Linked DNA regions of Elephas maximus indicus. The protein of the gene in region 1 interacts with the protein of each later gene in a biochemical or structural test. Links are inferred from orthologs where the notes say so. Each region holds a gene or a part of one and is shown on either strand. Other genes may lie near its edges. The genes, in order: MAPK3, PTPRJ, SREBF2 and PTPRR.

Region 1 (6,979 bases):
TTTCCCCATCTGCAAATGAAGGAAATAACTATTCTTTAGAGGGTGGTTGTGAGGACAGGATGACAAAACCCATGTAAAACAGTCAGCCCAGTGTTTGACACATAGTAAGTAATCAGCAAACATCAACTATTATAAATGTCCGTGCCACATGGCTGTTGAGAGGGTTAAATGAGATAATGCATGAACACCATCTGGCATGCAATAAATATTTGCTTATTTTTAAATTCCTGCCTGATGGGAATGGTTTGCGCAAGAAAAATGAGGAGATACTCCCAACAGCACACTCCTACTCAAAGAAGAGTCGTTGGCCAAAAATCAGAAGATTGAGGAATAAATGTACATTTACATTTTAAGATAAAACAAATATTAAATATAAATAAATGCCATTTGGCTTGTCTCTGGAGGAATAAGTACTGAATATCTTTTAGAATCAGCCTCAAAAGGGCCTTCTGAGGACATGTGGACCAACCCTGCTGCTTTAGAGATGGGGAGACCCAGCAAGAGGCAGTGACTGGCTTAAGGTCACACAGCAAGTCAGGGTAAGCACAGAGATTCCCTGTCCAGTCTGTGGTGGAGGCTGCAGACTCTACAGGGCAAATCCCCACTCTTGGGTGGAGGCTGGGGCCCTGGTGATGCAGTGGTTAAGAGCTACAGCGAGCTATGGCTGCTAACCAAAACACTGGCAGTTTGAATTCACCAGCCACTCTTTGGAAACCCTACGGGGCAGCTCTATCCTATTCTACAAGGTTGCTGAGTTGGAATCAACTCGATGGCAACAGGTTTGGTTTTTATTTACTTTGGGTGGCGGTCTGGGATGGGAGAAGGGGTGATGGTATCATAAGCTGCTGAAAACAGAAGCCATCGAGCCAGGCAGGAAGTGGACAACAAACCAGGAAAGCAATATCAGAGGAGGCCAACAAAAGTTAGGCTGTCCCTCCCTGGGCAAGGTTCAAGTTCAGAGGTGACTTGGGTGGGGTTCTGAGAGGGAAATCCCAGAGAAAAGACAAGTTCTTATTTGGGAAAGGGGAAGAGGCAGCAACAGAAGCACTTGATTTTGGACTTTCTGAGTCTCCTTTTCCTCATCTTTGAAATAGAGCTCACAAGGCCCATCTCTTAGGGCAGTTGGGAGGGAGAATAAGAACCATCAAAGCACTTGGCAGGCACAGCTCTCTACACATAGTAGGCCCTCAAGGAAAGGCAGTTTTCTTCCTTCCTGCCTTCGTTCCAGTCTGGGGTCTAGAGAGCAAAGAATCAGTCTGTTAAGCAAGAACCAACTGTGGGCAGAGGCTGGATCATGTCACAGAACTGCAGATGTCAGAAGACAAAGCTCCCATAGAGACTATCTCACCCAGCCCCCTACTGAGGCACAGGGCAGAAAAGGGACTAGCCCAAGGCTACATGGCCTGGCTGCAGCAGGCCAGGATTCAATGAAGGCCCCAATCCTTTAACACTCTGTGTGTGGCCTCTCGGGCCAGAAAGTTTCTTTTACTGGGTTTGTTCTGGAAGGTGGTAGGGAAGAAGGAAGCAGAAAGAATGCCAATGCTGTCCCCAGCCCAGCTCCAAGGCCACGCCTGGCCAGCCATCCGGCAGAGGTGAAGGATACACGTCCCGCATTGCTTCCAGGGTGGGTGCCCGCAGAATGTCTCGGATGCCAATGACATTCTCATGGCGGAAGCGTAGCAAGATCTGGATCTCCCGCAGCGTGCGCTGGCAGTAGGTCTGATGCTCAAAGGGGCTGATCTTCTTGATGGCCACACGAATCTTGCGCACGTGGTCATAAGCTGAGCTGAGAGGGCCAGAGAGATGTTGATGGTGTGGCCTTATAAAGGGGGAGTCCAGGACTGGTAGCCCCACCCAGGCCTTGGCAGGGAGGGAAGGGAGCAGGAGAGGGCTCTGGTCAAGCCATAAACAATGATGGTTCCTTCCTGCTGGGGAGGCCTGGGATCTCTAGGGAGAAGGCAGGGGACCAGCCAGGCAGCCCTTTGGTGACTTCACAAACGGAGGAAGAGGCTGACCGCTCGCTGACATCCCCTATTCTCACCCCCCTTTCATTCTAGTTGCCCTGAACCTTCATCTTCCTCTTCCCACAGGGTGTGCGCCCTGAACCCCAGACAGGTCCAGGGATGGAGATGAATAGAGGACATACAGTGAGGCAAATACAGTGAGACGGAGGGGGCCATAGGAAGGGCTGGAAAGAAGGGACAAGGCAGGGGTTGGTGTCAGGGTGAAGTACCTGGGCAGTAGAGCTGTTCCCGCAGGAACAGAAGCCCAGAGCAGCCGGTGAGGCTGGGAGAGTTCACAGACCCCTCCCAAAGGATGCAGGGAGGCACTCCTGGCCCTCATCCCTCACTGGGCCTCTGGCCCCCAGCCCAAAGCCCTGCCCCACCCTGCCCAGCCCTAAGCGCTACTCTTCTCTCCCAAACTGTTTTGGCACAGTCTCAGTGGGAGAATCCCAGGCATCCTCTCTCCAAAGAAGGTCCTTTACTCCCCCTTAGGATACTACCTCCCCAAGAACACTTAACCTCTTCGGCCCCGGGTCTCCACCCGTTCCTCCCAAGGTCCCCACAGGTCCCCTCGATACACTCAGAAGCCCCTCCCTTCAGTATGGAATGATCCATTCAAGGCCTCCAAGCCCCCTCCCACTGGAACGCACGCAGCGCCCCCTCCCCCAGAAGGCACTCAAAGGTCCCCTCCCCGGGACGCTCCCCGAGCCTCCTCAGTCCCCTGCCTCTTCGGGACGCTCGAGTCTCCACATCTCAGGAAGTACTCAGCACCCCTTCCCCTCTCCTCCCCCACTCTCGGAGCCCCCTCCCCTTAAATCACCCCGATCGCTTAAACAGCCCCCTCCCCTGGGACGCCCCCTCACCTGACCATGCCGTACGCGCCCTCGCCGATGTACTGTAGCTGCGAGTAGCGAGGGCCCACGTCGAACGGCTGCCCCTTTACTACCTCCACTTCCCCCGGGACCCCCAGGCAGACCCCATCAGCTCCCCGGGGCTCCCCGCCCCCCTCAGTCGCCGCCGTCGCCATCTCCACTCCTCCCCTCCCACCTCCCCCCGGCGGCTGCGCCCGAGGCCCCGCCCCTTCCCGCCCGCCCTGTCACCGCGGAGCGGCGCGCGCCGGGTCCCGCCCCCGCCCCGCCCCTGGCGCCCCGCCCCGCCCCTGGCGCCCCGCCCCCTGGCTCCCGCGCAGCTCGAGGCTGGGCCGCGGGCGTCACGTGGTCCGCTCCTGAGCGCGCCCAGATTGTCTCCTGCGGGCGTTGTGGTCCTCGGCGCCCGCGGGCTCCACGGGGCGGTCTTAGGGCTGGTCCGGACCGCCCCCCCCGGGGAGAGACGAGCCCAGTACGGCTGGCCGGTGAACTTGTCCCGAAGCCGTCCAGCGGGTGTGTGGTGCAGCCGGGACGTGTCGCTGACTTCCCGAAGGAAGGGCTGCGGCCGAGGCGCGCCCAGGGGTTCGAGATGGAACCCTCGCCGGCCCCTTGTCGTTTGGCCAGGCTCGCCCCTGATAAGCCTCGGTATTTCACAGTAGCCCTGCAAGATGGCTTCATCACAGATGTGGCTTGCCTCCAGAGGGGCCTGGTGACCTGGAGCCTTTCAGCTCAAGTGAGAGCTGGTGAACCCAGGGGTCCAGATTCCCAGCGTCTGGCTTGTCGACAGAGCCTGTGGAAGTGGGCTGTGGGTACCTCTCCTCTGCCAGCAACTGCAGCAGTGGCGGTCTGCTGCTTGATTAGTGCCCGGAGCACAGATAGCCCCAGCCAACTTTTACTTGGGAGGCAGGAGAGAGGCAAGAAGGCCGCATGCAGAGGTGACTGGGTTTGATTAAGATAACACTATCTGGATTTTCCCCAAAACCGCAAAATTGGAAACGTTTTTGTTGCCATTGGATTTGGCAAAATGGGAACCCTGGCAAGATGAGCATCGTGAACCTGTACCAGACACTGCAGTTTACAGAATGCTTGGATCATTTCAGTTTAGGACAACCCTAAAATATAAGTGTCATCCGATTTTCTTAGCTGAATGAGCAGAGGCCATGTCTGTCCATTACTGTATCATCCCCCCCTCCCCGTGCCTGGCACTGAATAGATGACGTTTTACAGATGGGGAAGCTGAGACTAGGATTAACTGACTTGGGTAAACAGTCACCTCACGGTGATGACAGCTCTGAGACTCAAAATGATGTCTCCTGATATGGAGGCAGAAGCTTTTTCTGATCCCGTACTTAGTCCCTCAGAGTCAGACTGTTAGAACTGAAGAAAAGACCCTCAGAGCATCCAGTCCACCTCCCTCATTTCACACTGAAAATATACGTTGGAAGCTTCACAAAAGGAGACATCTCCTAGGCTTCAGTAAGTAAGGATGTTTTTAGATCCTTGTATGTGTTCCAGACCAAAAGGCAAAACGGAATCGTAATTAGAATTCTGAAATTGCTCATCATTAGACCCACGGCCAGGCACTCCAACTCTGATGGATGAGTTGCTGATTCCCGACACCCCATAACTCAATGACGGTTCAAGAGGTGCAAATTAGATCAAAGTTTTTTCAGCTATTCATCTGATAAACTATTCAACGTCACTGTGTGCAAAGCTCTGAGCTAGGCACTGCAGCTGGTGAAAGATTGTAGTATGAATTAGTGGTTAAGAGCAGGAGTTCTCTGGAGCCGAATTGCCCAGGTTAGAATCCCATTTTTGCCACTCACTTGCTGTGTTACCCTGGACAAATTACCTACTGGCCTCTCTGTTCCTGGAGTTTATTATCTACTGAAGAGATAAAATGTATACACATAAGTCAGTTGGATACAAGATAAATGGATGTAACATCTAGTGTGAGCTCAGGGGTGGGAGAGATCACTCTTTCTGGGAAAGTGAGGGAGGGATAATGGAGGAGGTGGCATTGAGCCATTGGAAAAACAGTGGCATTTCAGCATGCCTGGCTATTTTTTTTTTTTGGCTAGAGGAAAGGTGTCAAGGAGGAGGAGCAGCCTGAGCCAAGGCACAGGGTCGGGAGCATGCCTTGTCCAGTGTGACTGGGGTTTAAAGCAGTAAGGGGAGTTTAGGCTGGCTGGGTGCGGCCAGATCGAGTGAGGGAAGGTCTTGGGTTCTGGCAAGGAGTTTGGATGTTACTCAGTGAGCAGTAAGAGCCTTTGAGGGATTTTTGCCAGATCATTTTGCAACTGCAGGAGAATATAGTGACTCAGAGAAAACACCGTGGAGTTCAGCACTAAGCCAGGTTTCCTGAGTGGGAGTGTTTCCCGGCATAGGAAAGGCTGGTGTATCCGGTGAGGCCGCCTGCAACCTCAGGCTGCACTTGTCTCATTGAAGAGAGTGACCGAGATTGCCCTCTAGTGGCTGTGGTTGGTATTTCCTCGGACGGTTGGACTGGGATTTCTTAGTCCATTGAACTGATTCACATTCAACTGATAGAAACTGAGCATCTATTCTGTGCCAGGCACTTTTATATACATTAGCTCCTGTAATCCTTACAGAAGCCGTATGAAGTCAATACTATTATTTCCTTTTAAGAGAAGAGAAAAACAGAGGCTTATTGAATTGTAGAGTTGGAAGGGACCCCAGGAATCATTTTCCTCTCCAGGTAGTTCATTATGTCCCACCCAGCTCACTGCTTTGTTTGAGTTTTTTAGCAGCTTCTAGTTGGTTATCTCTGTCCTCTGTATTTACCCAGATTAAATCTTAAACCCAGTTCTTAACTTTTTGTGATTTCAAGGACTGGAACCTTGTTTTTTCAGAGCACAAATGAACCTTCCCATTTCAACTAACTCCACTAATCATCACTAACCGAGAAGGTAGCAAGTACGCAGAAATAGAGGTCAGAGGGCATTTACAAATTTGTCAAGATTTAAGTACTGACCATTTTTTAAGGGAAGGGTGAAGAAGAATTGACGCCTTCGAATTTTGGTGTTAGCGGAGAGTATTGAGTATAGCATGGACTGCTAAAAGAACGAACAAGTCTGTCTTGGAAGGAGTACAGCCAGAATGAAAGCAGAAAGAAGCAAGGATGGTGAGACTTTGTCTCACATGTTGTGGACATGTTGTCAGGAGGGACTAGTCCCTGGAGAAGGACATCATGCTTGGTAAAGTGGAGGGTCAGTGAAAAAGAGGAAGGCCCCTCAATGAGATGGACTGCCACAGTAGCTGCAACAATGGGCTCAAGCATAACAAGGATTGTGAGGATGGTGCAGGACAGGGGCAGTGTTTCGTTCTTTTGTACATAGGGTGGCTATGAGTTGGAACCGACTGGATGGCACTTAATGACAACAACACTTTTTTTTCTTAATCTAAAAAACCTCTGCTGTAGTTTTCTGATGACACCTCTTCAAATATTGGAGAATATCTATGGCCAAACATCTCTCCTCAGGAATAGGCCTTCTTCACCTAATCCTTTCTCTGAAATCTTTGTCGCCACCTCTGCCAGTCCCTACTGGCATCCTTCCCTGGGCTCCTCTTCTCACCAGCCTTTTTTCTCTTCACCATCCCCCTTAGTCACATCACACTCCTATGGCATCAACTTTTTGCTTTATGTAAAATCTCTACCCTTAGCCATTGCCTTTCTCCTTCATCCTGGTGCCAGATTTCCAGTGTTTGCTGCACAGCTTTACCTGGAGGCTAGCTGATACAAATATTCAGCATGTCCAATGAAAGTCATCCTCTTTATTTCCAAACCTGTTTCTCTTCCAGACTCTATTAGCTTTAGTATTACCACCATTCTCTCAGGATCAAACCTTGTCGTTTTTCATTTTACCATTTCTCTCCGCATCCAACCAATTTCTTCTCATTTTATTGCCAAAGCCATCCCCTCTACAACTGGTCAGACTGTAATTTCATATTATCATATTTCTACTTTTTAACTTTTCAGTTTAAATAGTTTTAGATTGACCAAAAAGTTGCAAAAAATAGTTCAAAGGATCTCCATATACCCTTCGCCACACTCTCTAAATGTTAACATTTTAAATAAACGCAATACAA
Region 2 (7,231 bases), on another chromosome or scaffold:
TAGGATTCAATTTTAGGAAACTCAATTTACAGCTACAGCTCTGGGAAACACACAGTGAGGTAGCGCTATGTCCATGGTTAGAAGTAAGAGCAAAACGAAAACATGAGGTTTTCAAATACTGTAGCATCATGAAAATACCAGACATAGCCAGAAGACCCAGGTTCCGGTGCCAGCTCCTCTCTATTTCATGAGACAACCTCAGCCTGATCACTGTCTTCTCTGGACCGCAGTACCTTCATTTAAAGAAATGAGAGGTTTCAACTACCTTGAACGGTGAACTCAACAATGCTCTGATTCCCTGAAATAGCCAATTATCAAACAGAAGTACCAAACGTGAATTTGGAAGATGATTTTTCAGAAAGCCTTTTAGATTTCCTATTTTATAATATATCCAAAACTGAGAAATTCAAGAGACTCTTCTTGAGTTTCTAAAAAACAAACTCTAGAGGAAGGAACTATCTGAATATGGGACAAGTACAGAGTGGCAACATGTTAATGTAATACAAGGAAGGGTTAGGCAAGAAATAAATTTACCCAAGAAACTTTTTGCTGATTCAAAGCACACCAAGCAATCACCATGTCTGAGGGGAAAAAAGAAGAAGAAGAAAAATATATATATATACACACATATACATATGCATATACAGAAGCTCTGCTGGTACAGTGGTTAAGAGTTTGGCTGCTAACCAAAACGTCAGCAGTTCAAATCCACCAGGCACTCCTTGGAAACCCCATGGGGCAGTTCTAGTCTGTTCTATAGGGTCACTGCATCAGAATCCACTCAACGGCAACAGGAACAGGTACATATATGCATATATACATACACACACACACAAAATGAAAAATAAAGCTGAAATATTTCATTAATATAAACACTGGTATAAAAAAAATCTTCAACTGAGGCAATTTTCTCTCTTTTTTTTTAATCTCGCAGGCTAACCCGTTGCTGTCAAGTCGATTCCAACTCATAGCAAACCTACAGGACTGAGAAGAACTGCCACATAGAGTTTCCAAGGAGTAGCTGGTGGATTCATACTGCCGACCTTTTTGGTGAGAAGCTAAGCTCTTAACCACTGTGATGCCAGAATTTCCTCACAGGGACAGGGAGAAGACAGCCCATAACAGTTACCTTAATGATAATCCCATCTGGATATCCTTTCATATTTACAAAGTTCTTTCAGACATTTCACAGCGGAATCTCCTCAGACAACCCTATCAGACCAGTGGTATTACACCCATTCTACAGATGCTGTTAACCGAGGCTGGCAGGAGACTGAAAAGCAAGTCCAACTGTGATGCCTAGCCCTGGAGCTGACACTTCCTCCAGTATTCTCCACAGAAGATCCACTACCTTCCAGGCCCTCACGAGAGCACCTCAAAGCCTGCTAGGAAAACTAAGGAGACACAGGCCACCCAGAGTGACCCTTTGAGGGTTACCACAGTCCCCAGGCCCCAGCGCCCTTCTGGCCCTGCCTGCTAGGCTGCATTGCTCCCTCCATCGCTGATGTTTTTGTTCCCAGACAATCCTGTATTTGTGCTTGAAAAGTTTTCCCTGAAACCAGGTTCCATCCTCAGCCAGTAACTCACTTCCTGGGTTTCAAACATCATCTCCTTAGAGCTGGTATCTATAAAACAACGAGATTTTCATTAGCAAAATGGGCAACAGGGACATCAGGAGGCCAGTTTGCCTGAGGTATGAAACCCTCACAGGCTCCCCGAAGTCTGGGAGAACAAACCAGCTTGCTCAGCCCCTATGGCATCCGCAGGGCGCTGCCATTCTTTCACTTCTCTCCCTCAGTTCCCTATCTGTGAAATGGGAACACCCCCCACGCCCAGCTGTCCTGCCTCACCACCACCCCCATGGGAATGCCGTGAAGGGGAAACGATGCTTTCAGAAAGATTGTTCGCCAAAAAGCCACGCACAGCATTATCAGAAAACTCAAGCTAGAAAACAGAGGGGTGGGGAGACAGTTGGTGCCCCCAAAGCACGAAGTAACCACCCAGGGAAGGAAGCCCTACGGCGCGCCCGGCAAGAATGAACGCCTGCTAGTGGCCATCTCTTCCCGGGCTGGGAACTTTCCCCAGAAGCAACGTCTTCCTCCCGGAGGCCCCGCTCCTCTCCCGGCGCCCCCGGGCCGCCGCCGCCGCCGCCGCCCTTCGGCCCGGCCCCTCGGGCCCTGCAGGCCGGGTCGGAGGTCTGCGGCGGCCGGGCCTGGCCGGCCCCGCTTCGCGTCCCTAGCCCTGGACAAACACGCCCCCTCCGGCCGCCTCTGGCGGGCGCGCCGGGCCCGCGCCGGCCAGATGTGACCGGCTCCGGGAAGGGCCGGGCCACGGGCGGCCTGGAGGGGGCCGGGTTGGTGGCGCGCTAGCCCGCGCGGGGGTTTCCTCGGGGAGGCGACAGGCACCCCGCGACCCCGCGTTCCGCCGCCCCCCTACTGGAACTGGGCAGCAGGCAAAGGCGCTCGGTCGCCGGCGTGCAAGGCCGGCCAGGGTCCCCGCGAGCCCCAGCCAGGAGAGGGACGCCGAGGACCCGGGTCCCTCGCTACCGCCCCCTCCCCCGAGCCGGAGGGGCTCCCCGGGCAGGTGCAGGGACGCCAGCCCGCCCTCCCACCCCCGGCCCCGCAGCTCACCTGGCCCAGGCGCAGCAGCAGCAGCAGCGGCGGCAGCGCCCAGCGCAGCCCGGGCGAGCGCCGAGGGGGCCGCGCCGCCCGCGCCGCCGGCTTCATGCCCCGCGCGCCCTGCAACGTGCCCGGGCCGCGCGAGTCGGGCCCCGTGGTCGTCGCTGCGTCCAGCCGCCGCCTCCGCCTCCTCCTCCCCCAGCCCGTGCGCCTCGTCCCCGCTCCGCCCGCCCCGGGCTTCCCCGGGGACATGGCAGCGGCGGCGGCAGCGGCCACACGGCGGAGCGCGGCGCGGCAGCGGCGGCGGGGGGGCCGAGTCCCCGGGCGCTCAGGGGCTTCGCGGGGCGGAGCGAGCGGCGCCCACCTTCCGCGCGCGGCGGCTCGAGCCCGGCTCCCGCGGCCCCGGCTGCTCCAGCTGCCTCCTCGGCGCGTCATGCGGCTTAGGCTGCAGGGAGCCGCGGCCAGCGCTCGGCCCCCTCCCTCCCCCTCTGAATATTCATCGCTTCCTCCGCCCGGCGGCCTGGCCGTGCGGAGCCCGCGGCCCCTCGCCGCCCGCCCCCGCCCAGCGGGCCAGCGGCTCCCCTCGGCGGGCGGGCGGAGGAAGCGTCCCCGCCGCCCTGCCCGGCCCCTTCGCCTAGCCCTCCCACATTCCTGGGATTTGGGACCCGGGACGCGGCTCCTCTGCTCTTGGGGCACGAGCCCGCACCCCTGTAGGCGCCCCGAGCCTCGGCCCCGCTCCACGGCCCCCAGTTTGGGTCACCAGATGGTGACCGAGACCCCTGCCGAGGGCACAACTGGGCCCCCGTCCAGACGGCAAGCCGGCCAAGGGGTTCTCGACCTGGCCTGTGGGTGGGCTTGTGGGTGCGTGATCCCCGAAGTTGTAGGCAGCATGCTGTGTGTTGTGTCCTTCCTAGCCCTGTGCCCAGGCAAGGGAGGCAGTGACCGGCACTGGAGCAGGTCCAGTGATGTCAGGACCCCAGCTCTGGCATATGGGAAACCTGGCTCTGCTGGTAGTACTAGCTGTTTGGCCTTGGGAGGGGCATTTCAGCTCCCTGAGCCTTCCTTCCTTCATCTGTGAAATGAAGATAATACTAGTACCTGTCTAGAAGGACTTAGCTGAGGATTAAAAGAGATAATGGGTGTAAAGCCTGCCACATAGTGCACCTCAATAACCGTTAGCGATTGGGAGAGCATGCATCACGTTATCAAAGGGATCCATGGCCTAAAAGGGGTTAATGATTACTGGGAGAGATCGCTACCATGCCCTTGCACAAAGGAAGGAACTGAAGGTCTGGGAGGCCAAGTGACTTGCCCAAGGAGAAGGAATGAGAAAAAGAGCCAAACCAAGGAGTGGTGAGGAGGGAGAGGTTAATTCCAACCAGAGGGAGAGGTGACATCGGAGCTGGGCTGTGAAAGATGGGTTAGATTTCACCAGGCAGAGGAGAGCAGCATCTCAGGAAGTGGGAGCCACTTGCCAAACGCTAGAAGGTGAATGCTTCAGGCTGGGCCTTCTTGATAGGAAATTTGGGACCTTATATTTGGGAGACCTCTTTCAAGTGTTAAAAAAGCAAAGATGTCACTTTGAGGACTAGGACTAAGGTACACCTGACCCAAGCCATGGTATTTTCAGTTGCCTCATATGCGTGTGAAAGCTGGACAATAAGTAAGGAAGACCAAAGAAGAATTGCCTTTGAATTGTGGTGTTGGCGAAGAATATTGAATATACCATGGACTGTCAAAAGAACGAACAAATCTGTCTTGAAAGAAGTACAACCAGAATGCTCCTTAGAAGCAAGGATGGTGAAACTACGTCTTACATACTTTGCATATGTTATCAGGAGGGATCAGTCCCTGGAGAAGGACATCATATTTGGTAAAGTAGAAGGTCAGCATAAAAGAGGAAGACCCTCAACGAGATGGATTGTTACAGGGGCTACAACAGTGGGCTCAAGCATAACAACAATTGTGAGGATGGTGCAGGACCAGGCAGTGTTTCTTATGTACATAGGATCTGATGTACATAGGATCACTATTAGTCAGAAGTGACTCAAGGACACCTAACAACAACATAACATATTTGGGGGAGACTTTGAAGGCCAGAACAAGGAGTTTGGGCAGGACATTATGTACAAACCAAAACTCCAATTGTGGAGTCAATTCCGACCACGTGTTCAGAGTAGAAGTACGCTCCATAGGGTTTTCAAGGTCGAGAACTTTCAAAAGCAAATTGCCAGGCCTTTCTTCTGAAGCATCGAGCATTGGTGGGTGGGTTCAAACCGCCAACATTTAGGCTAACAGTCAAGCGCTTAATGTTTATATCACTCAGGGGTCCACCTGCATTCTTCGTGCACTAGTGTGGAAACCACCAGATGTCCAATACTGCCTCCAGGCATCCCTTTGGGCAACAGGTTCCCAGTCTACAAGATGGGAACTATATCTTTATTTAAAATGTCTTCAGGGCTCCCACCCCACTGCACACACAGACAAGCAAAGAAGGTAAGGGGACCTCACCTACTGACTTGCATATCTTGCCACCCTACACACTCTGCTGCTCCCAGCCTTCCCCCTCCATCTCAGGGCACAGACAGGTAGTTTGAAAGATGTTGCTGTCCATGATGCCTGGTGAGAAGACATGGGTGGCTTGCCTCAGGTGCTCCCAGATCTGTGGGGTGTCCCAGGTCCTCGCAGACTCAGCTGATCCTAGAGGCCCACCCAGGCCTCTGCAGCTTCGTGGTTTTGGTCTGCAAACGACTCTGTGAACTCCTGCGTGCCTGTCGGTTTTCTCCTGGATGAAACACGTGCCCGCACAAAGTGGTGGTTGGAACCAACTTTCCCCGCTGCACAGTGATGAAACAGAATAAACAGTCTTTTCAGTAAAGGGAGTTAAGACCTGAATAAACTACCTGTGAAGTCATAAACAATCACACTGGATTAATGAACTATATGAGGAATGAAGTTAATCCCAAGTAGGTGTGGTGTAAACTCCCTGAGGGCAAGGGTTGGGCCTGCCTCATCTTATTGCCCTGTAACACCTCACTCAGTGCCTTCCTCAGAGCAGGAACTCAAATATCTGTGCAGATGCATGGCTGTGTAGGAGCCCTGGTGGTGCAATGGTTAAGCTCTCAGCTGCTAACCAAGCAGTTTGAACCCACCAGCCACTCTGTCAGAGAAAGATGTGGCAGTTTGCTTCCATAAAGATTACAGGCTTGGAAATCCTATGAGGCAGTTCTACTCTATCCTGTAGGGTCAATGTAGGTCAGAACCAACTCAACGGCAGTGGGTTTGGTTTGGGTTTGATATGGCTGTGTAAGTGCACCCGGAGCACCATGAGTAAATGTTCATTTTTCCACAAGCATAAATTAGGAGAGGAGCATTCACTTCACAAAAGGAATAGGGACTAGATCCCAGTGTGTAGGTCTCTTCCCTAGATGTCACTGCCCCAGAACTTCTTCCCAGATGACCCAGCCGGAGTTGGATGTACTCTGCCCACTCCGCCATGTGCCCAGGGCTCCCTTTGCTCAACCTTATCAACAGTGTTGTAATTGCCTGTTTACTTGTCCATCTTCCTAATGGAAGCCCCTTGAAAATGGGGCCTGCACCCTGTTTATCGTTGTATCCGTAGCACGTAACAGGCACTCAAATGATACTTATTTAATTAAATTGAATGCATTCCTTTGAACAGCAAACTAGGGTATTAGATTTATGCCTATTTTCTCTCTCTCTTTCTATCTCTCTCTCTCTCACACACACACACACACACACACACACACACACACACACACCAAATTCCATTCATAAGCAGCTTTTTAGGAATGCATCTACCATGCAAAGCTCAGGACACATTCTCCTTAATAATGCCCAATGATGTTTGACCTTTTCATCATGTCCACCTTCAAGCCAAGGCTAAAGCTTCACTGAATACGGAGCCAGATCCATAAAGGACCAAAGGGCCATACCAAGAGTTCAGAGTGGAGGGCTCCTGGGTTCTTTCCAAATTGCCTGATAGGAATCACTGGGGCTTATTATAAAACAGATTCTCATGCTTGCCTTAGACTGTAGACGGTGCAGCCTGGGAACCTGTGTTTTAAGAAGCACATCAGGTAATTCTTGCTGGATTCAGAAGCACTGTTTATCCTGTGACTGGCCTGATCATGCCCCTAATAATGATAAGTTCCATTTATCAAGTGTTTACTAATTGGAGCACTGGTGACCCAGTGGTTAAGCATTCAGCTGGTAGTCAAGAGGTCAGCAATTCAAATCCACCAGCTGCTTCTTGGAAACCATACGGGGCAGTTCTTCCCTGTCCTATAGGATCGCTAAGAGTCAGAATCGACTTGACGGCAATGGGTTTGGTTTGGTATTGTCAGGCACTAGTCTAGGTACTTCATATCCATTCTTTCTATTCCTGACAAGCACCTTGTAGAATAGGTAAAAAAAAAAAAAAAAAAAAAAAAGAATAGGTATCATTGTGAATATTTTACAGTCACTGAATTGTAATGCGATGATTGTTGAAATGGTAAATGTTTTATTACCTGTGCATTTACTACAATTAAAAAATCTTAGAACAAAAAAAAATTTTTTTTAATTTTTTACAAACAAGGAAACTGAGTCTC
Region 3 (7,816 bases), on another chromosome or scaffold:
CCCTAGTCACTATATTATGACCCCATTTTATTATCTTCATAGCACCCTGCTAAAACTCTTCATTTATTTTGTCTAGCCTGAGTTTTCTCCCTCGAGGATTCACCCTCTCTGAGAAAGAGACCCTGTCTGTCTTGTTCAAAGCTATCCTCAGCACTGTGCCTACCAGGGGGTACTCAGAAGCCACTCAAGAGATGTGCTGAGTGACTAGAATGCATGTGCCCCCAAAGGGCACCAATGGACTGGTGCAGGGCAGACTCTGCCCAGCGAAGGATTCCTGACCACCTGTGTGCCAGGAGGAAGTGAGCAGGCGCTGTCCAGGCTGCAAGTGCCTGTTGCCCTCCCATTCCCCCCACACACATATGAAGGAAGCACTTGTACTCACAGCCACAGGGGCTTTCCTCTTCTTCACCTGACTGACCATGGAAGCACCTGGGCTGGTGACCCTGGTCTATTCCAACTCCAAGGACTGTGTTTAGTACAACTTGGTATCCTGCCCAGCCCAAGGTCATTGTATTCAGTCAGCATTTCGCAAATTATCAGTGAGCACTCCGTGCCAGGCACTGTTCTAGGTGCAAGAAACACAGCGCTGTACAAAGTGAAGACCCCTGCCCTCATGAAGCTGTTGCTCTGGAGGGGGAAATGGTGGGTGAGTATTGAGAACTGCTTGTATCTGCAAACCACAGGCCTTCAGCTGGCCCAATCCTTCCTGTCCTTCAAAGCCTAAGTCAAGGACCACCTCCTCGGGGCAAGCTTGCTGGTAAGACAGTCTTTAGTGAACTCCCTCACTGCTGATGTTCACCTACTGCCCTGTACATCACATTATAAGCTATTCTGTACTCGGCACTACGGCTTTATTGTCACTGTCTCAAGCTCCACGAGGCCACAAAATTCTCTCCTGTCTCTCCTTTTCCCTACAGCTCAAGAACCACAGGCAGACCTGACTACTTGGTGACCAACTAAAAACAGGGAATCACTTCTCCCAAACCTGGTATGGATGGGGACCTGGGAAGCCAGTGAATCACTGTGGCAGTTTCCACAACGGACATTTTACTAAGAAATCTATGCGGATACAGCTACTTTACCAGAAGGTAATTGAACACGTTACAAATTAAGACAAATAAGAATTCCTTTGGATTAGGAATGCAAAAAGCACACGAACTTCCTTTTGCCTGCTTGCTGAGAGACAGCTTTGGACACATTTCTTACCGGTTGTGTAACCTTGGGCAAGTTAATGACCCACCAGGGCCTCAGTTTTAGGATCTGTGAGAAGGGAATGACAGTAGTGGAATGGCAGGCACTAACTGATAGGACTGTTGTGAAGATCAAGACGACCAATGTGTACGTTCGCTGAACACAGTGCCTGGCACAGAACTGCTCCAAACATGTTAGCTGTCCTTGTTATATTCCCAAAAACCCCCTCCCCCATTTGTTAACACATCTCTGTATTCAGGAGCACCTGCAGTTAAGACACCGGGCTTCAACGAAGGGTCTCACCACATGGCCCAGATGACTAAACACAGAAAGCAAGGGCAGGCCTAGGAGAGGTGCTGCGGAAGCAAAATGGGAAAGGCATCCTTTTCGGTTAGTCAGTCGCTGCCACTTTCTCTTCCCACAGAGAAGAATCTTCTGTTACCCGTTTCTTCCTGTACACAATCTGGACAGAACCATCATACTTGCCTTCAAGGCTGTCACGAGATCCTACCCGCCAAAGCACTTGGTAAGCTCAAGCGCACAGTGCACCTCAGAGTTACTGTCTAAAAGCCTGGGTCTGGGTTCTCTAAGGAGAGTGACCTTACACAGGTTAACCTCTCCTGGCCTCATATTGCTGCAGAATGGGGCAATAAAAACATCTCATAGGACTGTTGTGATCAATAAATGAAACAGAGTACTTTGGGTCTGAAACACCAGAAGGGCGCAACTACTGGGTTATTATTAAGACTCCTAACCTGTTCACTAGACTCCTCACCCCCAAGGGTCGGGGGGAAGCCTGATACAGTGAAACCAACACTGGTCGCGGAGCTGGGAGACCTGGGCTCTGGCTCCATAACGAGCTGAGAGACCTTGGGCAAGTCGCTGACCATCTCCAAACTCCAGTTCCCATGGCTACACGAAGAGAACATTGCAAGAGAAAATCCCTGGGCTTCTACCAGCCCTTCCACTCTGCTGTGAAGGCCTCCAGAACAAAGGGCACCCGCTACCGAGCCTGCCCACGAAGGGCCACAACCCAAAACTCCTGCTGGTCAACTCCCTTCGCAGGCACGGTCAGGTCTCCGTCCCGGAGAGATGCGTCCACGCTCGGACACCACTGCTCGCTTCATCAGCAACTTGCTTCTGCAGCCGCTGCCCAAAGTTTTCCCAGCGCCCGGCAACCCGGTGGGCCGTCACTCCCGGGAAGACCAGAAGTGGGGGCAGGCGCCGGGAGCCCTGCCCCGGAGATCCCAGGGCCTCCCCGCAGCCCGGCCGGGAGTGACAGGTGCGACGCAGGCCGGGACAGCAGGAGAGCGCGGAGCTCACGTGGGCGCGAGGGAGGCGGCGGCGCGCGCTCGCTCAGACCGCCCCCGCGCCCCCACGACTCACACCCTACTTCCGGACACGCGGCGCCGCGGACCCCACGGCCCCGGAGCAGAGCGGCGGCCGAGGCTCCAGCCCACAGCGCCCGGAAGACTGGGGACCGCCGGGCGAGCGCGCGGGGCTCTTCCCGCGCGAGCCGAACTGCCGCGGGGTGGGCGCACGCGCACCCGCGCGCGCCGCCGTAACCCCTTCCTCCCCGCGCGCCCCCGCACTCCCACCCACCCATCCACCGCTCACCGTCGATGTCCCCTAGGGTCAGTTCGTCGCCCAGCTCCGTGAGCGTCTCCATGGTCTCCAGCCCGCCCAGCTCGCCGCTCCCGTCCATCGCCCGGCTCGGCGCAGAGCCCACCTGCCGTCCCGCTCAGGAAGACGCAGGGGCGGTACCGCCGCCACCGCCCATGACACCCGAGATCCCCCGCCCGGTACCGCCTCACCGACCCGCGCCAGTCGCCGCCATGTTTGCGCTGCGCCCGGCGCCGCGCGGGAGGGGCGGGGCGGGATTCCCCCGCCCCCGCCCGCGCCCTCCGCGGCCCCGCCCCTAGGGCGCGCTCCCCCTTGTTTATTGTCAATGGGACCAGGCTGGCGGCGGCCAATCGGCGCTCGAAGCGGCGCGTGGGGTGATGGTGCGTCAACGATCAGCAGCTCTGATTTGCATACTTAGGCCCCGCCCCCCGCAGCCTTGTAGCCAATGAGAAGACAAGCCGGCCGATCCTCAGTCCAACCTCCCTCCCGGAGTTTAAAAGAACCGTTCCCTTTTCTGTGAGACGCGCTCCGCAAGCAACTCCCGCCACCTGACAGAGATTAAAGGGTTAACGCATAACCCTCTGCCTCCGCCTGCAGGACACCCCTGCTGGCCAGGAGCGCATTACGTCATCTTCCCAGCTGCCCACCCCGCCCCGACCGCCTAGAGAAGCGCGTAGAATCCAACCTGGCCGCCAACACTTGGAGACGAGGGGAACCTGGAGATCGTCCAGGTCACGTTCCTGCCAATCCCCTTACAAAGGCGGAAAAGAAGGCTCTGCGTGGGCAGCGAATTGCCTAAATGCAGTCGGCGTTTTATGGCTTTGCGCCTTGGCACCTGCCATGACCACGCACAGTACTTCGGAGCCCCTTGAAGACCTTAAAGCAACGCCGGTGCCCACTGGCCTCCCGAGGTGGCCCAGGCATGGTTATTTTGAAAAACTACTGCGGGGATTTTGACGCGCAGCCTTGGCGAAGACAACTACCCGTTGGCTTTGCCCACCCACGGTGTTCTCTAAGCATCTCAGGTTGCAGCTGGTCACCTTGTAAAAAATTTAAATGTGCAAACTTCTAGGAAAATTACCTTACTGCAGAACCAAGAACTGTAATTGTTGAGTATTTCTGCCTTGTTTTGTGTGAGACTTTATAAACGTATATATATATATGTATACATATATATAGCCTTGGTGGCCCAGTGGTTAAAGTGCTCTGCTGCTAATGGAAAGGTCATGGTTTGAACCCACCAATGGCTCCAAGGAAGAAAGATGTGGCAGTCTGCTTTCATAAAGATTACAGCATAGAAAACACTATGGGGCAGTTCTACTCTGTCCTGTAGGGTCCCTATGAGTTCGAGTACACTCTACAGCAATGGGATTTAGGTATACACGTAGCAAATATCTTTGTTTTCTTCCCTTCTTTTTATGATGGTTAAGATTGTGTGTCAACTTGGCTGGGCCATGATTCTCAGTGGTTTGGCAGTTATGTAATGATGTAGTTTGGCAATTATGTACTGATGTAATCATCCTTCATTGTATGATCTGATGTAGTCATTCCCCATCTTATGATCTGACAGGAGCAGCCCTGCAGTTGACAAGGAAGTGCATTGGGGGTGTAGGCTGCATCAAATACATATATGCATGTTCTGGTAAACCTTGCTGCCGTGCTCTGGATTTTGCATTTGACTCTTCATCCTCTGATCTCTGGTTCTTGGGAGGTGAGCCAGCAGCCTTCCACCTGACCTGCCAATTTTGGGTTCACCAGCCCCTGCAACCATGTAAGTCAGACGAAGCCTCCGCCTGACGTCTCACTCAAGGATTTGGGGCTTGGCAGCCTCCACAATTGAGTGAGCAATTTCCTTGCGATAAGTCTCTCTATATACGTGTATTTATATATATGTGCTTTGCTGGTTTTGCTTCTCTAGAGAACCAACTTAAGATGTGTAGAGAGTGGTTCTAGAGAAGCAAAATTTTAAGGATGAGTTTTCTAAATTGGTTCTCAAATCTGTCTAATATTAAAGGCACTGATGACTCTGCTGTTGGGAGTAAATGGGGCACTGCTAATCCATAAGGTGATGTGGAAATAAAATATGCAAAATGTCACCACCAATGGATCAACTATTTGTGAGACAAAGTTCTGGGTGATTGCATATTTGCTACTTTTCAAGCAATTTTGTCAGAATGAGAAGTATAAGGAAGCTGGTTGGTTGGTCCTACTTTCACAAGACAAAGTGGTGAAAAAAATGAGCTCAGGGCTTCAGAGTCACAGCTCAAGTACTGCACAAAACACATCAAACCTGCTACTTGTGCCATGAAAGAAAACCTTATTCCTTGTAGTAACACAACTGATACCGCCACAAACCAAACCCAAAGTCTTATCATAACAGTGGCTGAATCACAATGCCAATTGAATTCGCAACCTCAAGTAGTGTCTGAAGTTAAAGTGAGGGCATTGATTGGCAAGAAATGGAATCCCGAAACTTGAGATGGGGACATATGGGCAGATAATCCGGAAGCAGAGGACATCAAGCCCCTAAATTCAGTTGAATCACTCCTGTCACTATACCTGCTCTCTTGCTCCCATCTGAAGAGATTACTGCTTCTTTGACTGCTAAGGCACCTTCCCCAGTAAAACCATTATCCCCACCATCCCCATCTGATGAGATTAATCCAGCTGTGCCTTAAGAGTCTGTCTGAGATATTACCTAGGGTGGCACCTGGGGTGTTGCCTGGGAAAACACTTGAGGCAGATGCCTTATAAGACGCTGCTGAATGTCCCCAGGACCCACCCGCACCACCACATGTAACTAGACTTAAAGCACTGAAGGCATTGGTGAAAAGCAAGGCTCTAAGAATTGATGCAATACCAATTAAAATGTATTGACAAATGGATGCAATACTAGAAGCATTCACTCATCTATGCTAAGAAATTTGGAAGACAGTTACCTGGCCAACTGACTGGAAGAAATCCATATTCATGCCCATTCCAATGAAAGCTGATCTAACGGAATGCAGAAATTATTGAACAATATTAATATCACATGCAGGTAAAATTATGCTGAAGATCATTAAAAAATGTTTGCAGCAGTACATTATTGACTATGCAAAGGCATTCAACTGTGTGGATAATAACAAATTATGGATAACATTGTGAAGAGTGGGAATTCTAGAATACTTAGTTGTGCTCCTAAGGAACCTGTACATAGACCAAGAAGCAGTTGTTCGAACAGAACAAGGAGATACTGTGTGGTTTAAAAGCAAGAAATTGCCTCAGGGTTGTATTCTTTCACCATACTTATTCAGTCTGTATGGTGAGCAAATAATCCGAGAAGCTGGACTATATGAAGAAGAAAAGAGCCTCAGGATTGGAGGAAGACTCATTAACAACCTGTGATATGCAGATGACACAACCTGGATTGCTGAAAGTGAAGAGGACTTGAAACACTAATGAAGATCAAAGGCTACAGTCCTCAGTATGGATTACACATTAACATAAAGAAATAAAAAATCCTCACAACTGGAACAACAAGCAACATCATGATAAATGGAGAAAAGACTGAAGTTGTCAAGGATTTCATTTTACTTGGATCCATAATCAACACCCATGGAAGCAGCAGTCAAGAAATCAAACAATGTATTGTATTGGACAAATTTGTTGCAAAAGACCTCTTTAAAGTGTTAAAAAGCAAAGATGTTACCTTGAGGACTCAGGGACACCTGACCCAAGCCATAGTATTTTCAGTCATCTCATATGCATGTGAAATCTGGACAATGAATAAGGAAAACCAAAGAAGAATTGATGCCTTTTAATTATGGTGTTGGCAAAGAATATTGATGATACGATAGACTGCCAGAAGAAGGAACAAATCTGTTTTGGAAGAAGTACAACCAGACTGCTCCTTAGAAGCAAGCATAGTGAGACTTCATCTTACTTACTTTGAACATGTTATTAGAAGGGACCAGTCCCTGGAGAGGGACATCATCCTTGGTAAAGTAGGGGGTCAGGGAAGAAGAGGAAGACCCTTAATGAAATGGATTGATGAGTGGCTGCAACAATGGGCTCGAACATAGCAACGATCCTGACGATGGTACAGGACTGGGCAGTGTTGTGTTCTGTTGTGTATGGGGTTGCTATGAGTTGGAACTGACTCAATGGCACCTGACAACAAGTCCAAGCGAGCCCCAAGAGGTGAAGAAAGTGCGACCCAGGAGGAGGTATGCTACACTCCAAAAGAACTGCTTGATTTTTCTAATATATATAAACAGAAACCTGGGTAATATGTGTGGGAGTGGCTGTTAAGGATGTGGGATAATGGTGTGAGGGACATAAAGTTGGATCACTCATTGATGTGGGCCCACTAAGCACAGATTCTTCATTCAGTGTTTCAGCTTGAAAGGTTAGAAAAAGATCTGATAGTTTATTTGGTTGGTTCACTGAAGCATGGATTAAGCACTGGCCTATACTAAACCAAGTTGAAATGCCAGACCTGCCTTGGTATACTGTAGAAAAAGATATCCAAAGGCTTAGGGAAATAGGCATGTTAGAGTGGATTTATCAGGTTGGATCAACAGACCCACTCACGGAATGCCCAGAGGACACACCTTTCACCACAAGAGTGAGGAAAAAATTTGTGAAGGGAACCCCAGTATCCTTGAAGACTGCTGTGATTGCTATTTATGTAAGTCAGATTTGACAGTGGGAACTACCCTAACTGAACTAAGACAACTAACTACAATGGGGCTGACTGGACCTTGGGGTGGTAGGGGCCAAGTGATGGCACTCAGTGGACAAAGACAAGGTGTGTGTGATTACTGTAATAGAGGGCAGAGTCAAAGCTGTTTAGTCATGGTGTCCCTAGGAGTGAAATAGATGGAAAATCTACTAAATATTTTCTTGATGTATACAAGTGAAAGAATTCTAGGTCAAGTGAATGGCAGTCTAACCTGAATCACTGGACTAGAAAGTCACGGCCCCTACAATCAACTCCCAGACTTAAGCCAGTTTACAG
Region 4 (7,078 bases), on another chromosome or scaffold:
GGAGTTTACGTATTACACTGGTTCCCAGAAAGATTAAAAAGTGGAGATTTGGGACCACAAACTCAGTGGCGGCTTCACCTACCAGAACCAGTGTGTAATTTTCAACAGTATGCTATCACAGGTCTGGACACTTGGATTTTCATCCTGGCTATGCTATTAATAGACTCTTCATTATTCTGGATCTTAGTTTTCTGATCTGTAAAAAGGGTGATAAATAACTAAGTTTTTGTTTTTAAATAAGGAGATTGATGAAAATCATCTGCCATGGATAGAAGCTAAGTCTAGCTTCTCTAATATGTGCCATAGTCAGCAATTCTTCAGGGTTACCTTACCCGGAGATGTCAATTACATCTCCCAAACATTGCAAATAGATCACAGTATTTTCCCTGTTGAGTTAGAACTCAGGGTCAGATTTTTTTTTTTCTTTTTGTACAATGTCTCAGGAAACCATGACCAAGTAATTGGAGCTGGCACTCAAGTTGAAAATAATTTGCTACCTTATGATTAGAGGCATGGCTATGTTGAAGGCAACACTCCTACTACCACTAAGAGGAGCACTCACATCCCGTTAGTCAATTTTTCCCATTTCTAAAGCTTTCTAACATGTCATCAGTTCCACCAGCATAAAGCAATTGTTGGTTCCCTGGGCATAACCAAAATGGATCAATTAGCTTTCCAGTTAAAGACGCCTAAGTATATAGGACTCATTTCCCTTCTTTATAAAGCCTGTTTCTGTCCTGAGAGAAAAGCCTTCTGTAAAAGAAACAAATTCAGACATTCAACAAGTAGAGAAATCAGTTACATGACTTCTTGATCTTTATCCTACCACCCACTAATTTTCTTATTGGCCAAATATACAGGAGGTTAGATCAAGGAATCTGTGTTTGTTTCATTTCTGATGTAAAGCTCTAAAAATGTTATTAGATAGCTGTGATGAATTTTAATCGGATGACAGCTTGTGACCCACAAATTTCAGTGTAAAATTAAAATGCATCCAAAATGAAACTGGCAAGAGAACCACGATATTAAACTTGCAGTCTGCTGTGATAAAACACCTATCTAAAGCACTATATTAAATATGAATACAATTAATTTCTACACAGCATCTGGCAACTGAAATCTGAAAAAGATAACTCTTCAATATATTGCCTTATTAAATTCAATTCACTAGAATAATCTTTTTTTTTTTTTTTTGCAAATTAAAAAGTCAAAGTAGAGATAGATTGGCTTGGCTTTGATAATACACCCTTTGGCAGAGTTCCAGGTATAATCTAGGGTTCCAGACTTCTAGGTTTCTCCTTTGAACAAAAGTCCTCTATTTTCCTTATCCCAAATATTCATCTACAATAATTTAGAAATGTTTACCACATGGGTTTTTTTTTTTAAGTTTAGTTACTATTTTTTGAACTATAATTACTCAAGATACATTAAGTGTGATCTTCAAGGTAGAATACTTTTTAAGGTTGTTTATATATTAGCTTTGAACAATACTCTAGTATTTTTGCTAGATTGGTTAAATTATTTCTAAACTTGAAGCTTTTTTTTTTTTTGGAGGAGGTAATAGATATCTGTATTGGTGCTATCATTAGGCAATCATGTAAACAAAACTCAATGTCTGTATTTTTATCCCATATTTCAACATTAAAGAAGTGTATGTGGTAATAAAAGGATTCACTGTAGCTGTTTGCGAGTAATTTAATGACCAAGTCATAGCTATTTCCTGGTTTTCAAAAGGTGCCAAAGAATGATAGAAAATCCCATAATATAACATCATAATTATAACAATTAACATGTGTACTTAATTACAGCCTTAATTCTCCTATACATTACTTGCTCAAAAGATTCACAATACATTAAAATAGCACTAGCTAGAATTGTTTTTAGCTAGAATTGAGAAAGTACCATATTATACTCCTATTATTGCACACATAGGGAAAAAAATAACTCATTTAAAGAAAATGCCACAATAACTAATTAAATGGCTGTTATTTTTATCCATTGACCCTGGAACATAGAACACACTCAATAAGTCTTAATTGAAGGAATGAATAAATATGTATGATTGGATGATAAGCAAAGTCAGGGAAAATACCTAGTCTTTGGTTGCTACAGGACTACTGCATAGAAGACTGCTGTCGCAGTAGGGTCCCTAAAACCTCTCTGCCATATTCTATTTTGGTTCATGTATGTATAAAAATGATAAAGGATTCAGTCGAGCAAGTCTTTGCATTACATAGAGGCACTATGTATCCAAAAAATCAAGGTCTGTAGTGACATCGCATATGAAATTTCCCATGCACTTCCTAAGCTTTGCTTCTATATAAAACCTGACATTGGTTTTGGTATCAAATCTGTTCATATTTAGAAGCAGTCTCACTGTCACTTCTGGCTAGACCTCATCAAATCTGTCCCAGGGTTGTCAGCTTGGAAACTGTGATTGGGTTTTTGCCAGTGGACTCTGCCCATGGTGCTGAAACAGAAGAGAGGGTACAATTTGAAACCTTTTCTCCCTCTTACTGGTTTACAAAATTCGATTGACAAGAGCAGGGGCCAAAGGAGCCTGGGTTAACAGCATTTGGTGTGAACCACGTATTTCGATCTTTTGGGAGGAGATGTGGTCCATCTGGTTACAGCCAATGCATCCCTGTGAGCGCTCACTAAACCAAGAGAGCATGTAGATACAGCCGCTGCAGTAAAAAAAAAAAAAAAGGTTGCATCCAGCAGGATGTCTTGTCCCTCTCCTGAAAGAGTGGAAGTCAAGAGCATAACCTAGAAACAGGGGCAGGGAGTCTAGATGGAAGAGAAGAGGAGCAAATCTGTACAAAGGCTGAAAATATTCGAGATGTACGGAAAGATTAATAGCTGATTTTAAGTTCAAGTTTTCTGCCTCAGTCTTCCAACAGGTGCATGGCTCCCTCACCCCTTCCCTGCCAGGTAGTGTCCTGCGTTGCCTTTCTAGGGCTTTCTTTGCAAGGCAAGCTCTTCCTAGAGTCCTTAAGCATTGGCAGTTTCCCATTTCATCCACAGCTCCAGCTCTATGCCCTGCAACTCCTTACCTGCAGCATGAAGACTAAGAAGCAGGCACAGCATGGGGAAGCCGACTGCTCTCCGCATAGTGTTTGCATTGAGAGGTGGAGAAGAAACTCCTCCACGACCCCACTTCAGGCAAAGTGAGATTAGATAGAGCCACCGCGAAGGGTCCTCTGGTCTCCGGGAATTAGCTCACGGGTCCTCGGCTGGGTTTGCAGAGCTGGTCTGTGGCGCGGACTGAGACAAGCACCAGCTTCACCTCCCTAAGAACCGGGGAGAGGAAGAAGAGTAGGAGGAAGCTGGCTGGGGGTGGTGGTGGTGGTGGTTGTGGTGGGGAGATGGGTGCTGTGCCGCTCAGAGGTCCTAATGCTTGGCCTCCTGGAAGCCCTGCAGCTGCGGAGGAGCGGGAGGGGTGGACTCGGGTCGCGTTCCCGCGCCAGCTCTGGAGCCGGGTGGCGCGGCCGCCGGAGCAGCGAGAGAGGCAGCCCGGCCTCGCCGCGACTACTGAGCATGCCCAGCACCAGCCCTCACGCGGCACGGGAGTTTCAAAGTGAAAATCCACTTCTCCGGGTCTTAGTGGCGGCTGCGAGGGGAGCAGGCACCACCCCAGGGGGCTGCTTGGGGCTGTTATTAGTCTTGAAATCTGTCAAAAACCCTTGTGCGGGGGGCGGGGGCGGAATGGGGTGGGGCGGGGGGACAAGATGGGGAAACGACCAGAGGAACCAAAGAGAGAACCAAAGAAAGTGTCAGCCACACCGACCTACCCTATCCCTTCACCAATTCTTGGTTTACAAGTGGACGAAGCTCAGTGCTGGGAGTTTGGTGGGCCTCAGATTGACCAGCTTCTCAGCACTAGCCTACGGGAATATAGATTGCTTATCGGGTGGCTTGGCCTGCTGAGCATCCTAAGCTGCCTGGAGAGGCCCCCCAAACAGCCTACCCCTCGTAAGCAGTGAAGGTGCAGACTGGGGGTGTCTTCTTCCTAGCAGATTTCCCCTCTTTGTTTCTCTTTCCCCTCCTTCCAGCTCAGTCTGTATTTAAACTTTCTCTTGACTCAAGTCAAAAATTTATGGCCAAAACGACAGAAAGAAGTGAGCCCGTACTTTTAGACTAGCGGAATACATCCATGAAGCAAAGCAAGATGCCTTTTATCTGTGAAGATAATTACCTTTAGTTTCCATTTTATTCTGTAAGGTAAAAGGCAATAGGATCACCTCCCATAACAGGGCTTCTCTGATCCAGCTTTGTGTTTCAAGGGAGGCTATTACAGTCTGTCTAACGTAGGTTGCCCTCTTTTTGTATTTTCCATCTTACTGCTAAGTCTTTGGTGTGTGGAGATCCCTATTAATCTAGTTTAGTGGCCAATTACTCCCAGAGTCAAGAAGTCCTACAGTTAGACTTCTTTAACTATTCAAGGAACACTGACCTTTCTGCTTCTGCGTCTTTACTGGTACTCTTGCCTCCGCTCTAATTGCCTCCACTTGCACTACCACTACACTCAAGCTTACAAGAGTCTAACCTTAGTCTCACTGTGTCCAGAAAGCCCTGGGCCAACTTCAAATTACAGTGATGTTTCTCTTCCACCTATGAATGCATACACATTTGGTTAGCATTGCCTGTTATTTTCCTTTCACATAGCTCATGCATCTGTGGTTTGTCTTACAGCACAGTTGAAGGCTCCATAAAGAACTTCTGCATCTTTGTATCACTTAAATTCAATAAAATTGTTCTAGGGAAATAATAGATACCAACAAGTACTCTTTGAATTGAACTGCATATCTAATTGAATGCTTTCTTCCTCTATCCTCTGTAAATTGGGACAAGTGATGGGAAATATGCTACTCACCAGAGCTTAAATTAGGCAGGATCTCATAGGACCTGAAAGCTCAAACAGCATCATTTTTCTTTTATAATTTATTTCATCCCCGGCACTGAAAGGCAGGCCAGGAATTGTACCCCAACAGGCGGGAGAAGGGGAGATGTAGCTTTAAAAATTGAAAGGTCGTCTATGCCAAAAATAGAGAAATGTGTAGCCTCACTCTTTGTACTCTTCTATTTCCCAGGGTTTGCTGGCAGGCACTATTTCTGTGGCACAACCATTTCTTCCAAACCCAAGGAAGCTGTAACCTCTTCTCTTACTCCAGATTCTTTTTTCTCTATCTCCTTTTTTTTTTTTTTTTTGAATAGCATACATCACTTTCTAGCATACCAAAATAATTACTCATTAATCTATTGTTTGTTGTTTATATCCCTCCCCCCAGCTATGAAATATGACCTCCATAAAGACAGAGACTTTGGACAATTTTATTCACTTATGTCTCCCAACTGCTTAGAACAGTGCCTTACATGAAATAGGTGCTCAAAGAATGAATAAGTTGAAAGCAATTGGTTGATAAACAAAGCTAAGTAGTGACAATCAGCTTGGCTCTTTGGAATTCTTACTAAATAGACCTTTGAGATAATTTATGTAGCTGTGCTTAAAGCTAGGAGGTTGTACAATGGGTAAGTGCTAGGATACTGACTGAAAGGTTGGTGGGTAAACTCATTCAGTGGCTCTGCAGGAGAAAGACCTGACGACCTGCTTTCTTAACGATTACATCCAAGAAAACCCTATGGGGCAGTCACATGGCATCGCTATGAGATAGAATCAACTCCACGACACTCAACGACAACAACAAAGCTTAGAGGCCATCATTCATCTGTCAGTTTGTTGTACTGTGGTGACCTGTGTGTTACTGTGATGCTGGAAGCTATGCCAATGGGTATTTCAAATACTAGCAGGGTCACTTATGGTGGACAGGCTTCAGCAAAGCTTTCAGAGTAGGACTATGGAAAGAGAGCTGGTGATATACTTCTCAAAATTAGCCAATGAAAACCTTATGGATCATAACAGAATACTGTTTGATATAGTGCTGGAACTTCTGGGTTGGAAGGCATTCAGAATACACAATGGCTGCAACAATGGACTTGAGCATACCCATGATTATGAAAATGGCACAGGACAGGGCAATGTTTCATTCTGTTGTCCATGGGGTCACCACAAGTTAAACCCAACTCAACAGCAACTAACAATAAGAAGAAGGAGTAACCCTTCTCATCTAATATATGGTACTGGAGAGGCTGTAGGGTTTAGTGTGGGGGGGATATAACTGCTGTAGGGTTTAGTGTGGGGGTTTAGTGTGGATTTCCTGTATTTTCTCCTTCCCTAAAAGAGCTAATTTCCAGACTTACATAGGTCTCTCCAAGAAGAAAATGCCTCATACTAGTGAAACACTAGCTGCAGTGAGGCCCTAGACCCCTTATTTTCCCACACAATAATTCCAACAATTATTCCAGGAGGAGTGGGACATTTATAGTTTCAATTAATATAATTGGCTGTGCCTTTGCCCACAAGACTTCTGCTAGCTATTTTGCCTAGGGGCTGAATTATTAAACTGTGCAAGAAAATACTCTTAGCTGAAAATTTTTCCAATTTCTAATTTGACCAGGTATACTACTAGGATAGTTCAGCATGGTAAAAATAACCTCATAGGAGCTATATTTTTGGTGACTGGACATTAATGATTAATTTACTTGATAGAGAAAAGAAGGCAAGAAAAATTCATATTCTTTGGTGAGTCGATCTAATATAACACCTCTAATGGTTTTGATCCCATGATGTGTGAAATTGAACAGCAATAAAATAAAACCTCTGAATTCTTAGAAATAGTCTCTGTTAATCTATAGGTACTACTTTTCCTTGACTCTGTGATCTAATGCTAGTGAAGGCGATGTGGTGTGTTAGAGAAGTTAGGTTAACACACTGCACCTGGGGTTTAGAGAAGCTAGTTCCAGTTCAAAGACACACGAAAATTATTAGAATGAGAGAAGCATGCAAATTAGTGCCGGCCTATAAAGCTGTTTCCTAAAGGAAATCATTTACATTTTAAAAGACGAATGGAAAGCTAGTATCCTATGGACTTTTCCTTCCCAGCAAACACCTAATCTCTTATGAGGTAAGGTTCAGGAAGAATTTACACAGGAGATAAGCCTTTCAGAGCCTGTCCTC

What was found.
Region 2: of the proteins of MAPK3 (region 1) and PTPRJ, one has a biochemical effect on the other in vitro, tested with the Homo sapiens proteins (2 studies listed by IntAct, with this or other methods). The link is inferred for Elephas maximus indicus from reciprocal best matches to the Homo sapiens genes MAPK3 and PTPRJ.
Region 3: of the proteins of MAPK3 (region 1) and SREBF2, one has a biochemical effect on the other in vitro, tested with the Homo sapiens proteins (2 studies listed by BioGRID). The link is inferred for Elephas maximus indicus from reciprocal best matches to the Homo sapiens genes MAPK3 and SREBF2.
Region 4: the proteins of MAPK3 (region 1) and PTPRR form a complex in vitro, tested with the Homo sapiens proteins (2 studies listed by BioGRID). The link is inferred for Elephas maximus indicus from reciprocal best matches to the Homo sapiens genes MAPK3 and PTPRR.

Annotation. Positions count from the first base shown.
Region 1 is NC_064830.1:89,118,914-89,125,892, reverse strand, and holds the start of MAPK3 (mitogen-activated protein kinase 3), read right to left. Parts: upstream 3,031-6,979; coding exon 2,867-3,030; intron 1,787-2,866; coding exon 1,604-1,786; intron 1-1,603.
Region 2 is NC_064825.1:103,308,028-103,315,258, reverse strand, and holds the start of PTPRJ (receptor-type tyrosine-protein phosphatase eta), read right to left. Parts: upstream 3,082-7,231; 5' UTR 3,054-3,081; coding exon 2,631-3,053; intron 1-2,630. UniProt on the Homo sapiens protein: Tyrosine phosphatase which dephosphorylates or contributes to the dephosphorylation of CTNND1, FLT3, PDGFRB, MET, KDR, LYN, SRC, MAPK1, MAPK3, EGFR, TJP1, OCLN, PIK3R1 and PIK3R2. Plays a role in cell adhesion, migration, proliferation and differentiation.
Region 3 is NC_064822.1:185,997,945-186,005,760, reverse strand, and holds the start of SREBF2 (sterol regulatory element-binding protein 2), read right to left. Parts: upstream 3,054-7,816; 5' UTR 2,897-3,053; coding exon 2,809-2,896; intron 1-2,808.
Region 4 is NC_064822.1:132,265,320-132,272,397, forward strand, and holds the start of PTPRR (receptor-type tyrosine-protein phosphatase R), read right to left. Parts: upstream 3,096-7,078; 5' UTR 3,091-3,095; coding exon 3,057-3,090; intron 1-3,056. UniProt on the Homo sapiens protein: Sequesters mitogen-activated protein kinases (MAPKs) such as MAPK1, MAPK3 and MAPK14 in the cytoplasm in an inactive form.